Linked DNA regions of Daphnia pulex. The protein of the gene in region 1 purifies or fractionates together with the protein of each later gene. This does not show direct contact. Links are inferred from orthologs where the notes say so. Each region holds a gene or a part of one and is shown in the gene's direction. Other genes may lie near its edges.

What was found.
Region 2: the proteins of dnaJ homolog subfamily C member 11-like (region 1) and MICOS complex subunit MIC60-like purify together in Homo sapiens (co-immunoprecipitation; 3 studies listed by BioGRID and IntAct, with this or other methods). This does not show direct contact. The link is inferred for Daphnia pulex from reciprocal best matches to the Homo sapiens genes DNAJC11 and IMMT.
Region 3: the proteins of dnaJ homolog subfamily C member 11-like (region 1) and armadillo repeat-containing protein 1-like purify together in Homo sapiens (affinity purification with mass spectrometry; 4 studies listed by BioGRID and IntAct, counting the BioPlex papers as one, with this or other methods). This does not show direct contact. The link is inferred for Daphnia pulex from reciprocal best matches to the Homo sapiens genes DNAJC11 and ARMC1.

The regions. Positions count from the first base shown.
Region 1 is NC_060019.1:1,093,550-1,097,824, reverse strand, and holds dnaJ homolog subfamily C member 11-like, read left to right. Parts: upstream 1-1,463; 5' UTR 1,464-1,552; coding exon 1,553-1,615; intron 1,616-1,761; coding exon 1,762-2,141; intron 2,142-2,203; coding exon 2,204-2,304; intron 2,305-2,365; coding exon 2,366-2,584; intron 2,585-2,649; coding exon 2,650-2,857; intron 2,858-2,923; coding exon 2,924-3,040; intron 3,041-3,110; coding exon 3,111-3,302; intron 3,303-3,366; coding exon 3,367-3,598; intron 3,599-3,664; coding exon 3,665-3,794; exon of another isoform or gene 3,795-3,859; coding exon 3,860-3,879; 3' UTR 3,880-3,958; downstream 3,959-4,275. Other genes in the region: von Willebrand factor A domain-containing protein 5A-like, read right to left, coding at 1-40, 116-227, 301-482, 555-709, 776-956; uncharacterized protein LOC124190903, read right to left, coding at 4,007-4,227.
Region 2 is NC_060018.1:5,994,773-5,998,888, forward strand, and holds the start of MICOS complex subunit MIC60-like, read left to right. Parts: upstream 1-1,279; 5' UTR 1,280-1,407; coding exon 1,408-1,511; intron 1,512-1,575; coding exon 1,576-1,767; intron 1,768-1,827; coding exon 1,828-1,889; intron 1,890-1,947; coding exon 1,948-2,108; intron 2,109-2,168; coding exon 2,169-2,231; intron 2,232-2,304; coding exon 2,305-2,446; intron 2,447-2,505; coding exon 2,506-2,764; intron 2,765-2,822; coding exon 2,823-2,922; intron 2,923-2,985; coding exon 2,986-3,129; intron 3,130-3,206; coding exon 3,207-3,338; intron 3,339-3,407; coding exon 3,408-3,881; intron 3,882-3,948; coding exon 3,949-4,044; intron 4,045-4,115; coding exon 4,116-4,116. Other genes in the region: peptidyl-prolyl cis-trans isomerase NIMA-interacting 4-like, read left to right, coding at 114-141, 281-363, 424-543, 618-776. UniProt on the Homo sapiens protein: Component of the MICOS complex, a large protein complex of the mitochondrial inner membrane that plays crucial roles in the maintenance of crista junctions, inner membrane architecture, and formation of contact sites to the outer membrane.
Region 3 is NC_060021.1:11,826,142-11,829,659, forward strand, and holds armadillo repeat-containing protein 1-like, read left to right. Parts: upstream 1-1,244; 5' UTR 1,245-1,397; intron 1,398-1,512; 5' UTR 1,513-1,529; coding exon 1,530-1,619; intron 1,620-1,678; coding exon 1,679-2,119; intron 2,120-2,183; coding exon 2,184-2,415; coding exon of another isoform or gene 2,416-2,424; intron 2,425-2,476; coding exon 2,477-2,655; 3' UTR 2,656-2,965; downstream 2,966-3,518. Other genes in the region: ral guanine nucleotide dissociation stimulator-like 1, read left to right, coding at 1-148, 239-486.

The DNA.
Region 1 (4,275 bases):
AGGTCACAACATTGTCGAATCGTAATGTTCCATATTTAGGCTAATGGATTTCAAAAGAAACAATTAACAATCTATGTAATTCAAATATTTGTCCAATTCAACAACTCGATCTTACCTTATTGACAGCGTCTCGAGTAACAGCGATTTTGTGGGTCGGAGAGCGAATTTCTGTGATGGCTGAAGCCATTTGCACAGTTGCGTTAAAATCCACTTGATAATTCGATTCCCTTAATTGAAAAGGAAAAACAAAATTGAGTTGATTTTATCTATAATGTTCACAGAGACGAAATAGTTACTAACGTTGAATATTTGATTGAAGCTAGATCGGCTGCAGTGCTGGATTTATCGGTTGGAGGAATGTAACGAGGAGCGATAGTAGTGGGTAAGTAAAACCGAATTTCTTTACCCTCTACTTTTAATTCTGTGACGTAAGTCAAGCGGATTTTGGCTCCAGATCCAGGTGCCAAATTACCAACTTTAGCCTTTGAAAATTGTCATTGAAAGATCAGAAAAAAACAAAACAAATACCATTGCATGACAACTGTTAAGTTTACCTTGAATACATCCGGCAATTTTTCTTCAACTAAAAATGCCGAGTGTCCGCTCTTAATTGCCTCGTCATAATCGGCTTTAGCTTGTTCCGTTTCCTTTACGACACCTTCGATTACACGCCCATCTACTTCGGCAGTGAACATAGAAACTCCAGCCCCTGTGATTCATGAAGCAGCAGTTAATTTCTATAACTAAATGTTAATATTACTTTAAACTGCAATACCTTCATCAAGAGGAAAGAGATAAACTGCTTCAATGGGTTGATTTTCCTTGTTGACATATCGTTGCTCAATGGTGACCTCGGCAACCAAATCGACGATACGAGCCTGAACCGAAACCCCGATCAAAGGAACCGGAATTGACTCACGTTCGGCACGTTCAATTATCAAACCACAACATATCATTTTGAAGCTTCAAAATGGTAGAACTCTGGAAAACAAGTAACAATTTCTTTACAATTCATTTGGTGTAGTCAAATATTAAAAAAAAACATTCGGAAATTATGTTGGTACTAAACTGAGTATATCAGGTTAACATCTACGTAATACGTGAACTCAGAACTTACTTACTTATACTAGAAGCAGCAACTGCAGACTGTAGCTGTACGGTTCTTTCTGTGAAATGTCACTAACTTCCAAACTAAGCACGTCACTTCTCTTATTAATGTATGGTGTCGCCCACGCCCCTCAGATGACGGTTTGAATCAGCACTAATAATAACATATGGCTGAATGGCTGAATGCGAAAATGGTTTTTCCACTGAAAAAGACTTGCAGACTTTTGGGCCGTATTGTTTTGTTTAGGAGTTCGTGAGTCATAATAACAAACATATAGCCACCTGCCGAACAAAACCTCAAAAAGTATGGTTTACTTAAAAAGTGTCAAATAACACCGCTAGGTGGTAGACATGTTCGACGCAATCGGACCGGCTCTTCAGTCTTCACGTTTTCGTGTAAACGTTCGTAACTGAACAACTAGTTTCGCGATTTTTTTCGTCCAATATGGATGATGAAAATGAAAGATTGGAAGAAGACTTTTATCAGTTCCTCAATTTACCAAGAGATGTAAGCCTTTCATTTTTTTAAGCATGTACGTTGATGTATTTAAGGACGCTTGTGAGGCGAAAAATCAAAACATGTGTTATCAGTGTGTTTTGCACATGACTTATTTTGTTTATCACAAGATTTAACATATTTTTTTAAATCATTAGGCTCCACAAGAAGAGATAACAAATGCTTACAGAAGGCTGAGTCGCATCTATCATCCAGATAAACATACAGATCCCCTCAGAAAGAAGGAAGCTGAAGTGTTATTCAACAAAACTAAAAGAGCATACGAGGTTCTGAGTGACCCCCACAAGCGAGCCATTTATGACAGCTTGGGAACCAAAGGGCTTGAAACTGAAGGATGGGAAATTGTACAAAGGACAAAAACTCCACAAGAAATTAGAGAGGAGTATGAGCTCCTTGCTCAGCAAAAAGAAGAGCGCCGGCTCCTCCAGAGGACCAATCCTCAAAGCTCCATTACCGTCAACATTGATGCCACTGAACTCTTCAGTTCTTATGAAGATGCATATGATGATGAATTTGGGTAAGCTAAGAAGAACTTATTTATTATGTGCTCCTTCACTGAACCATATGTTACATTTACAGACCTCCTGGTGATTTTTTTCCATCTATTGTGGTCAAAGGCATGAACTTTTCTCAGTCTATTCAAGCACCTCTCACCTTAACTGACACAGCTTACTTGTCTGGTAATCTATCATAATTTTTGACATGGATAATGGGGTTTTAATTAGTGTTTATTGGCCATAGGTGAGCTTTCAACACACAAGGGTTCAGGTTCTGGTTCAGTAAATGTGTCATTGAGAAGAATCACTTCTCCTGATGGATGGGCAGAAGTTGACTTAGGATTCGGTAACGGTCTTTCTTTTTCTGCCAAGGGATTCCGCAATCTGACTAAACGGATGTTTACAAATATTTCTGGAATCCTAACTACCACTGACGAAGGCTTGAGTTTTGGCTTTGTGTCAAGTAAGTTGTCATAACTTTAAAAAATTCTTATGCTCTTTTTGTAATGATTGTTATTGGAATTTAAGCATTGGCACATCAGCTAGATAAAAATACGGTCGGTTATCTAACTTACAAAAACTCACAGTCTAGCTCGATGAGCACAAGCATAGTAAAAGAGACTACAACATATAGGACACAAGTAAATTTTGTTCTTGGAATCCCGCACTCGTTTATTTCAATGTCCTACTGCCACAAACTTGAAAAGCATGAAGGGAGATTACGAGCAACTGTCAAGTCAGTATTTATTTTTGTGCATCATTTTTTCTATCAATGATTTAAAATTTATTTTTTTATGTACAGAGCCGGAACCTTTGGAGCTATGTTAGAATATGGTCTTCAGCGTAAAGTATCACAGCATAGTTCACTAGCAGTTTCAATGACAGTCGGAGTTCCGACTGGCGTAAGACTAAAGATAAAGTATTGATTTCACCCTTTTCGAATGTGTAGCGATAGCTTGTATACTTGATGTGTGTTCAATTTTCACTAGATTACTTCGAGGGAACCAAATTTACGCTTTTCCTATTCATTTGTGTCATGAAGTGCTACCAAGCCCAATATTTTATGGAACTGTTACACCAATGATTGCATGGATCATCGTCCGCCGCTTGGTCGTGGAACCTTACATGCAACAACAGAAAGTCAAAGATATAGAGAGACATCGAGCTATGCATCACGCCCAGTTAGTTGAACTTTTATGATTTTTCTTCTTTTCTTACAATAGTAACCAATTTCTTGCCTTATAGAATGCTAGCTCGTCGGAGAGAAGCCGAGATATCCATCGATTTAATGAAAGAAACATTTAGACGGAATGTCGAGGACGAAGAAAACAAGAAAGGTTTAATTATCACAAAATCGATTTACGGTCGGTGGTTAGATCTAAGCCACCGTGATCTCGGCGATGCCATCACCGACGTTACCATCCCGCTCCAATGCCTAGTCAGGGATTCTAAGCTTATACTTCAAGAGGCATCTAAGGTAAGAGTACTTCAAAATAGATTCCAGAAAAGAAAGTTTTTAAACAATGTTTTTGTCTCATCACAGTGCCAGCTTCCAGGTTTCTATGATCCATGCATGGGAGAAGACAAGTCCTTATATGTACAGTATTCCTTCCATGGAGTTCCACATGAAGTAACAATCCAAGACACAGACCCTCTGCGGATACCCAAGCAGTGTAATTCTAGTCAATCAAGTTATTTTACAAATTTACACGCAAATTAATTTCTGTCTGTTATGCAGCTCACAGGAAACAGCTCTGAAACGACAAGGCAATAGATAACATTTTAAAATGATGATGATGGACTATCAGTAGACATTACAAGTGTTGATTTAATCTTACAACTGTGTTGAGTCATCATTTCACACTTTAGTTTATTCAAGTATATTTCATGACTGTAAAATAGATTTCTCTAGTGTAAAATCATAACACAGAGAGTCCCAGTCAATTTCTTTAAGCATTTTAGGTTTATGCTTGACAGTGGAACCATTTAACCACATCGAATTGTAAGCTGGGGAGAACTGGAAAGGGATTTCATCATATAGCTTGTTAGATGAAATGTCCTGTTGATTGCTGGAGGCATTTGAATTGATAGCATATGGCAAAGGACCTGAAATAGAAACCCAAACTAGTGTAAGTCTTAATTTCTCATTTGACT
Region 2 (4,116 bases), on another chromosome or scaffold:
AATTGAAAACGCAGAAAAGCGCGTTTGTAATTGTTCTAAAATCTTGACTCTTGACTTTTGATTTTTTTTTTTCATAAAAAGATTAGAATTTTGAATTGGGAATTATAATAGCTATGCCACCTAAAAAAGCAGCAGCTGCTGGTACATATAGTTTGATTAGTTTCCTTGTGAAATAGTTGTGTTTTTTAAATATTTGTTTACACCTAAAAGGATATGTCAGAATTCAGAAGTTTCTACTACTGTGAAAATAAGCGTTTATAAAGTTTCATTGACTATTTAGGAAAGTCGAAAGGTGCTGGAGGAGGAGGAGGAGATGATGACAAGGGTAAAGACAAAAAAGGAGGAACTGGGAGTACGATTAAGGTAAAATAAGATATATTTCAATAAAATAAGATTATGTTTTTAAATATTATTCTTGCATAGGTTAGACACATTTTGTGTGAAAAGCAATCAAAAATTCTAGAAGCACTTGAAAAGCTTAAAGCTGGTATGAAATTCAATGAAGTTGCTGCAACATACAGTGAGGATAAAGCAAGATCAGGAGTAAGTGTTAATCAATGTGTTAATCAAGTATTATGCTAATTGCTTATTACATTTTTTATTGTATATTAAAATAGGGGGACCTTGGATGGATGGTTAGAGGATCTATGGTTGGCCCTTTTCAAGAAGCTGCCTTTGCTCTACCAATTTCATCATTGGGTAATCCTGTCTACACAGATCCACCTGTTAAAACTAAATTTGGGTACCACATTATAATGGTAGAAGGGAAAAAATAAAAAAAATAAAAACAACATATTGTTACATGAATTAAAATTGCATTTTTCATGGTTTCTTCTAAATTCACTTTTACTATAAGTCAAAAAGCTAATTGAATTTCTTTTATGAATTAAACATTCATAAACATCCAAGATTATCCAAATTGGATCATCCAATGCAGGGTTAAATGTGATAGGCCTACATATCAGATGTAGATCATTCTGACTGGCATCTATATTGATTATACAAATTGTGAACAAATTTAAATAACAAATATGTTGAAATCTTTGGAAAATAGCAAAATATTCTTTCGAATTACATGAACAACATATGCTGGTGGTTGATTTTGCTCTAAATCTAAAATCTTTCACTTTCAAGTTATACAATAAACAAATTAGGAATTTATTTTCTAATGTTAGCCGAGCTCTGGATTAAAAGGAATGAGTTAATTTTCGAAACATTTTCCAAGAAAATTTGGGATTTGGCACAAAATGTGTTCACGTTATCTGATGGATGCTGTTTAACAAGAACTACTACTTGAGTCATATTTGTCGTCTGTTGTCCCTTAATTACTCCGAGACTACAACAGTGGCAGGAATATTTTCTTCCATCATTTGAAGATCCAAGGAAAAGTTAGATCATTTTTCAGGAATGTGGAAGGCACCAGTTAGAATTTGTTCTCAGTCGAAGGTATCATTGCAAAACGGAAGACAAATTATCCGCCGGAACATAAACAGCCGAAAATCAAATCAAATGTAACCGGTGTATTTTTTTCGTAAGTTGTTTTTATACCAGATGCTGTAATAATTTCATTTGTAGATCTGGAAGCAAAATTTTAACCATTGGTGGAGCTGCTATTCTAGCAACTGTTGGTGGTTCTGTTGTCTTAGCCAAAACAAGTGATGGTTTTAGGAAATTTTCTGAAAAAAATATTCCTGGAACCTCATTTCTGTTCAATTTACTACTGGGACCTTCAGTTTCCCATTTACCAAAACTTGAGCATCCTGTCAAGTATAATCAGTTTTGTTTCTAGACTTTTATTGATTATTTATTTAAACTTATTTGCTTCAGAGTAAAGGAAGATGGACTTTTAAAGAAAAAATTGGAACGAGAAGCACTCAAGAAAAAAGATGGTAGATAAACATTTGAATTATTTTCTTGTACATTTGGAGCAATTTTTTTCTCTCCTAGATGAGCTGCCCATCAATCCTGTGGAAGAATCAAGCCCACAAGAGCTACCCATATCCTCAATCGATTTACCACCCCCAGACTTCGATGTCATAAAATCTGTGGAAGAATTTTGTGACAATGATCAATCAAGTGTTGAAGAATCTTTAAATTTAGACCCAGAAGTAAACTGTTTTTTATTTTATTTGCTTATACCTTATGTTTGACTTCCAAATTGCATTCAGGTAAAAACAGATGAAAATATTAAAGTAGTAAATGAATCTGAACCTGATAGTTCAGCTGTAGAGGTGAGAAACTTTCAGATTTGTACATCAAAACTTCAAAAAACAAAAATCTTTAGTTATTTTTCCTATAATTTAGGTTCTCGAAAAAGTTGCAGTTAATTTATCAGAATTAACTCCCGCCGAATTTGGGGACTTGCTTAAGGAATTTCATGCCAAAGCTTCTGACGCTGTTAAAGAAGCTGTTGCAGCCCAAGATATGGCTGCATGCTCCATCAAAAGTAACCGTCTCCTAAATAATCAGACTAACAATTATTTTATATTATTTTATCTTTTGTAGAGCATGTTGAATTGGTCTTCAAGTCACTAGAAAAGATTTACGAGCCTGGTCAAACACATGAAAATATTTGGGAGCCGGTCTTCATGGCGACACACGATAAAAATGAAGCTGTGCATGTTGCCGAGTCTCGAGCTCATGATGCCAGAATGGCCGTAGCTCAGCTGAAAGAAGCTGTAGCTCATGGCTTAAAGAATGACCAAAGTATACAAACACCTGACCTAATTACTTTTGACGAAAGCGTTGCCCGTGCTCTCTATAGGTACGTATTTGTGAATGTTGCTTCAAAACCTCCAGTGGCTATAATGTTTGGTATTTAGTTTGGAAACTGCAAAAGCACGAGTTGAAGCGGCTCAGTCTGAAGCCAAAGTTATGGATGAATATCGTGAACTTGTTGATACTGCTAGGCACAACTTGCAGGTAACAAATTGAATATTTATCAAAAATTTATAACTTCAACGTCTTTGGTTTGCATTATTCAAGATGGAGTTATCTTCCATTCGTCCTGAATTGGCACCCAGTTTTAAAACCGAAGGTTCCAAGTTGGGTGAAGAGGAAATCAATATTTTGATGGCCCATGCCTATTGGAAGATAATAACGTTGCAAAAAGAACTAGCCAGGCAACAGGTTAGTTTAAATGTTTTTTTTTTTTTGTTTTTTGTTTTTTTACAAAAATTTACAGCAATTAAAATTTGTATATCTAGTCTTGTGAGCAGCAGCGCCTGAAAGGAGCTTTAGATACCCAGAGAAAAGAAGACCATTCGGTTCTGGAATCCCGTTTACGAGTCGAATTGGAAAGACAATACTACGAACTAAAAGCGAAATATAATCAAGATGTGAGTTATACCGCCCATTATTGTTTAAACAAATCATTCCATTAATGTGTGTGTCGATTTCTTTAACAGATTTCGTTTCATGAAAAAACCTTGTCGGATCAGTTTACTCAGCAGCTTAAACTCCAAGCTGCTGCTTATACTGATCACTTAAATGACACTCTAAAGACGCAACGTCTAGAACTAAAGCGAACATTTGATGCTGAACGTGAACTAGAAGTCGCAAAGTTGTTGGCGTCCCATCATGAAAACCTGGCGAAGCTTCACGGAATGGGCAAAGGAATTCAAGACGCGATCCATGACCGCGCCGAAAAGGACCGAGTTTCTCGTCAAGTTCGTGAGCTATGGATTGCAGCTCAATCGATGATCGAGTCCCTGCGCAGTAACAATTCAGTCCATTTGCCATGGAATGAGCAACGCCACCCTCTCAATCTGAGTAGTTTGAACAAAGCACTAAACAACAATGATGAATTTGCTCTGGCAGTCATCGAATCCATCCCACCAACCGCTCTAGATCAAGGAATCCTTCCCCAAGGTGCTCTGAAGGTAACGCCCTGAAATATTTTCTTGTTGAAGTATTTTTTACGTTTAAATTTTACTCTTTTTTTTTCAGGAACGTTTCTTGAATGTTGAAAGAGTTTGTCGACGTGTAGCTCTGATTGATGAGAATGGTGGATCGATCCTTCGTTATGCGCTCTCTTATTTGCAGGTTGATTTTTGTTTTTTTGTTTTTTCCTTTCATACAACAACTGTAATTGTGTTAATATTCAATTCTTTTAGA
Region 3 (3,518 bases), on another chromosome or scaffold:
AAAGAGACGGAGGGCATCAACCTCTACAAGTCCATCATGGTCAGCAATCACGAACGGAGTCCTCAGGTCATCCGCAACGCCATGGTCAAACACGGTCTCGAGGGTAATCCCGAGGATTATACACTGGCTCAGCTCCTACCCAAAGGAGGTAGGTTCTTTTTACGTGTCACTCTAATGCAGATGGATGGATGGATCGGAAATGATTTCATTCCATTTTATTTAATTCCCGAAAACATAGAAATGGTGCTGCCTTCGAACGCCAACGTGTACTACGCCATTAATACCAGTTGCGATTTGAATTTCATCCTGCGGCCCAGAGGCGAATCGATGGCTCATCATCACCACCACCACACTCCTCCTGGATCGTCGGGTTCCGCCTCCGGTCGCTCCACTCCCACTCGCTTGCGCATGAGGGAATGCCACAAAGACTCGTCCGCCAAGGACACGCTGAAAGCACGAAAGAAAATTCTCTCTCTCGGTTTGTAGTAGAATGGAACAAGAAGAAAATAATAATAAGACAAAATCTCATTCTCTACTGTATATTAATATTATTATTATTTTGATGATGATGATGATGGCGGCATGCAGTGATCATTCTTTTATTGGTTCTACTATTCGTCTTCCCTATGACCCCAATTTATTATTTTCTTTTGTTTTACATATGCATGGTATACATCATTCTATTTTCATAATGTGATAACGATGAATCTTTCAAAATAGTGTGCGTTGTTGCAATCAAAATATCTTGATGATTTATGCAATGATGGAATTGTCTCTTGTGTGCGTGTTTGATATATCTATGACTTGAATTGTGCGAGCAATACCTACCAAAAGTGAAGCAGTTTCTTCCGCGAATCTGCGCAATGATCTGGACCAAGAAATTTCAAAAACCTGGGCTCCTTTCTTCTTCTTCTGTTGATTTGTTTTCCATTTTCAGCTACAAATTTGCATCTTCAACGAAATCTAAGCATCTTTTTTACACGTTACTCGACAAATTTTGATTTATGTTTATCTGCAAATCAGCCCCGTGTTCGATTTCAAAGTGTCTTGTGAGATTTTGTTATTCATTTTCCCGCGTCGTCTACAGTGATGTCAATAAATCATTTACCATCTACTACGCACTCGGCTTTTACATTTTTATAGGTCAACGACCAATTATTTTAATACCATTTTTTTTTTACTTCAGAAATGTGTCACTGACCTCAAAATTTCGTGATGCATGACGTGATGATTGTTGTTTTGGAAACTGGTATGGTAACAGTGGGATAAAACAGTTCCGCTTAACAGTATATTTTTACACGTAATGAGGACAGCTGAGCCATCTAGCGGCTAGTTACCTCGGCCTGTACAGGATCCATTTTGAGAAAGGACCCCTTGTTATGATCAACAAACATGAGGTTAGTTTCGTTAATGCTGATTCATTTTCTCGAGATTTGGAAAATAAAAGCATAGAATATAGAATTTTATTGCTTGATGTTGAATTCAATACAAATTTTTGTTTTTATTCCTCAGGATTTAATGACGGCAGAATGGAAGACATAAGTAGTACTGCTCTAGTCACGGTTCAGGCTTATCGTAACATCGCTGAAGATCCCAGCAAACGAGGAACACTAATCCAGGTATTCGCCAAAGTCGTCCAGTAATTTGAATTCCTAAATGTTAATTCTTGTTCTATTAGGATGAAACTAGCATACAATTCCTGGCTTATGTTCTTGGCGAAAAGAATGTAGAAGTAGTCAGTCTAGCCCTAGAAACGCTGAAATTGCTGTCTGACACACAAAGACACCGTCAAAAGTTGGCAGCTGTGTTTGGTGTGCTTGAAGCACTTCAAGCGACAGCTGATGGTGCTGAAGAGTTTGGTGAAGAAATTGCCAACAGTGCTGCCGATATATTTACAGCTCTCAAGTTTTCAAAGAACTCATCTTATGGAAACAAGGTCAAAAGCACAGCTCAGCCAAAAGTGGAAAGGATTCCTTCCACTGAAGAAGCTGTGGATGATGAAGGCTTGTTTGGTGCACTAGATACTAGTTCTCATAGTGACAGAGGTCACCGTTTTCTTAAATACAATTCAAAAGCCAAAACGATTACTGTAAAAGTAACAGGTCTCACTACCAACCAGGTACGCAAATTAGGATGATGCCCATTTCATAGTCAATAAATATTCTTTTGTTTGTTTTCAATAGGAGGATCGTGAACTTTTAGAGCGACAGCTCATTAAAGTTCAGGGAGTTATCTCCATCGTTTTCGATGCCACCAACTCCCGTGTCACCTTACGCTCCCGTCCAGATCTGAATATAGAATCTGTTGGCCAAGCTGTTCGTAAGACACAAACGATGCGTGCTTTCCTAGTTTGCAAGAACGAACTGGGAGAAGAGACGTTGAAAGCAATCGGAGAGGCTTACTCCGAAGACGACGGTACAGACGGTATATACTTTGGTAATGGCATACATAATGATGTATAGTTTCTAACCCAAAGTTTTATCGTCATCAGAGAGGAAATCAAGTACGCCCCTTCCTGATTACCTACCAGAGGATGATCACGACGTACCCACAGAGACTTCCGACAAAGCATTAGCACCTCACGGCATTTCAGAAGTTGCAAGTAATTGGATAAATTCAGCTGCTACATTTTTGCAGCGTTCTTTCTACTGGTGAATTCAGTGATGCGTGATTTGTAAGACTCTTATACACTTTTATAGAAGTAATACTAATGTCTTTCCTTATTGTCTATTCTCCTTCTCTCTCGTATTTTCACTCGCCACTTCTTTCAAAAAACTACAAAACCTCTCATCAGACAAACAATTGTCTTACTACTTTTCAAAAACAACAAAAGTTTTTTTTTTCTTCCTTAGGTGCCCTATTTCATAGGTCGTTTTTTGTGTACTTGTGTGCTTAGTCGAGTTGGCTGTGCGAAAACTCTCACCCTCTGTCCATGATGGGGAAAAAATATAATTTTTCATTTTGATTTTGGTATGATAATGAAAAACCCTCCATTTTACTTTTGGATTCGATTTTAAATTGACGTCCAAATCGTGTGATGTTGGAAAATGAAATGATTCGAACTTTGAATTGATCGGTGGACACTATTTGTGTAACCTTAACCCTCATGAAGTAATCGGCGGAATTACAAAGCTTTTGCCCACGTGTAACAGCACTTAAAAATTTTTTTTTAGTTAAAATTTGAGTGATAGTGTTCTAGTGTTGAATGTTTGAAATATTTCAATTTTGACATTTGATATTTTATTTATCTATTTGGGGGTAAAATAATTCAAATTGGCAACCCTGCGTCCAAACTCGGGAGGAGTGGGAGAAACGATAATTTATTCATATTCAAATTGCCTCGTGCAGTCACAGCAGCAAGAACTCGAAATAGGTGTCTTGAAAAAACGTTTACAAAACTTTTAATAGTGCTTGAACATTTGAACTTGTAATGAACAAAGAGAAAGGTGTCTTCTGTCCTGTGTTTGATTTCTTCACGTCCCCTGGCTGGTAATAAGAATTTAGTTTTTGATATTGAA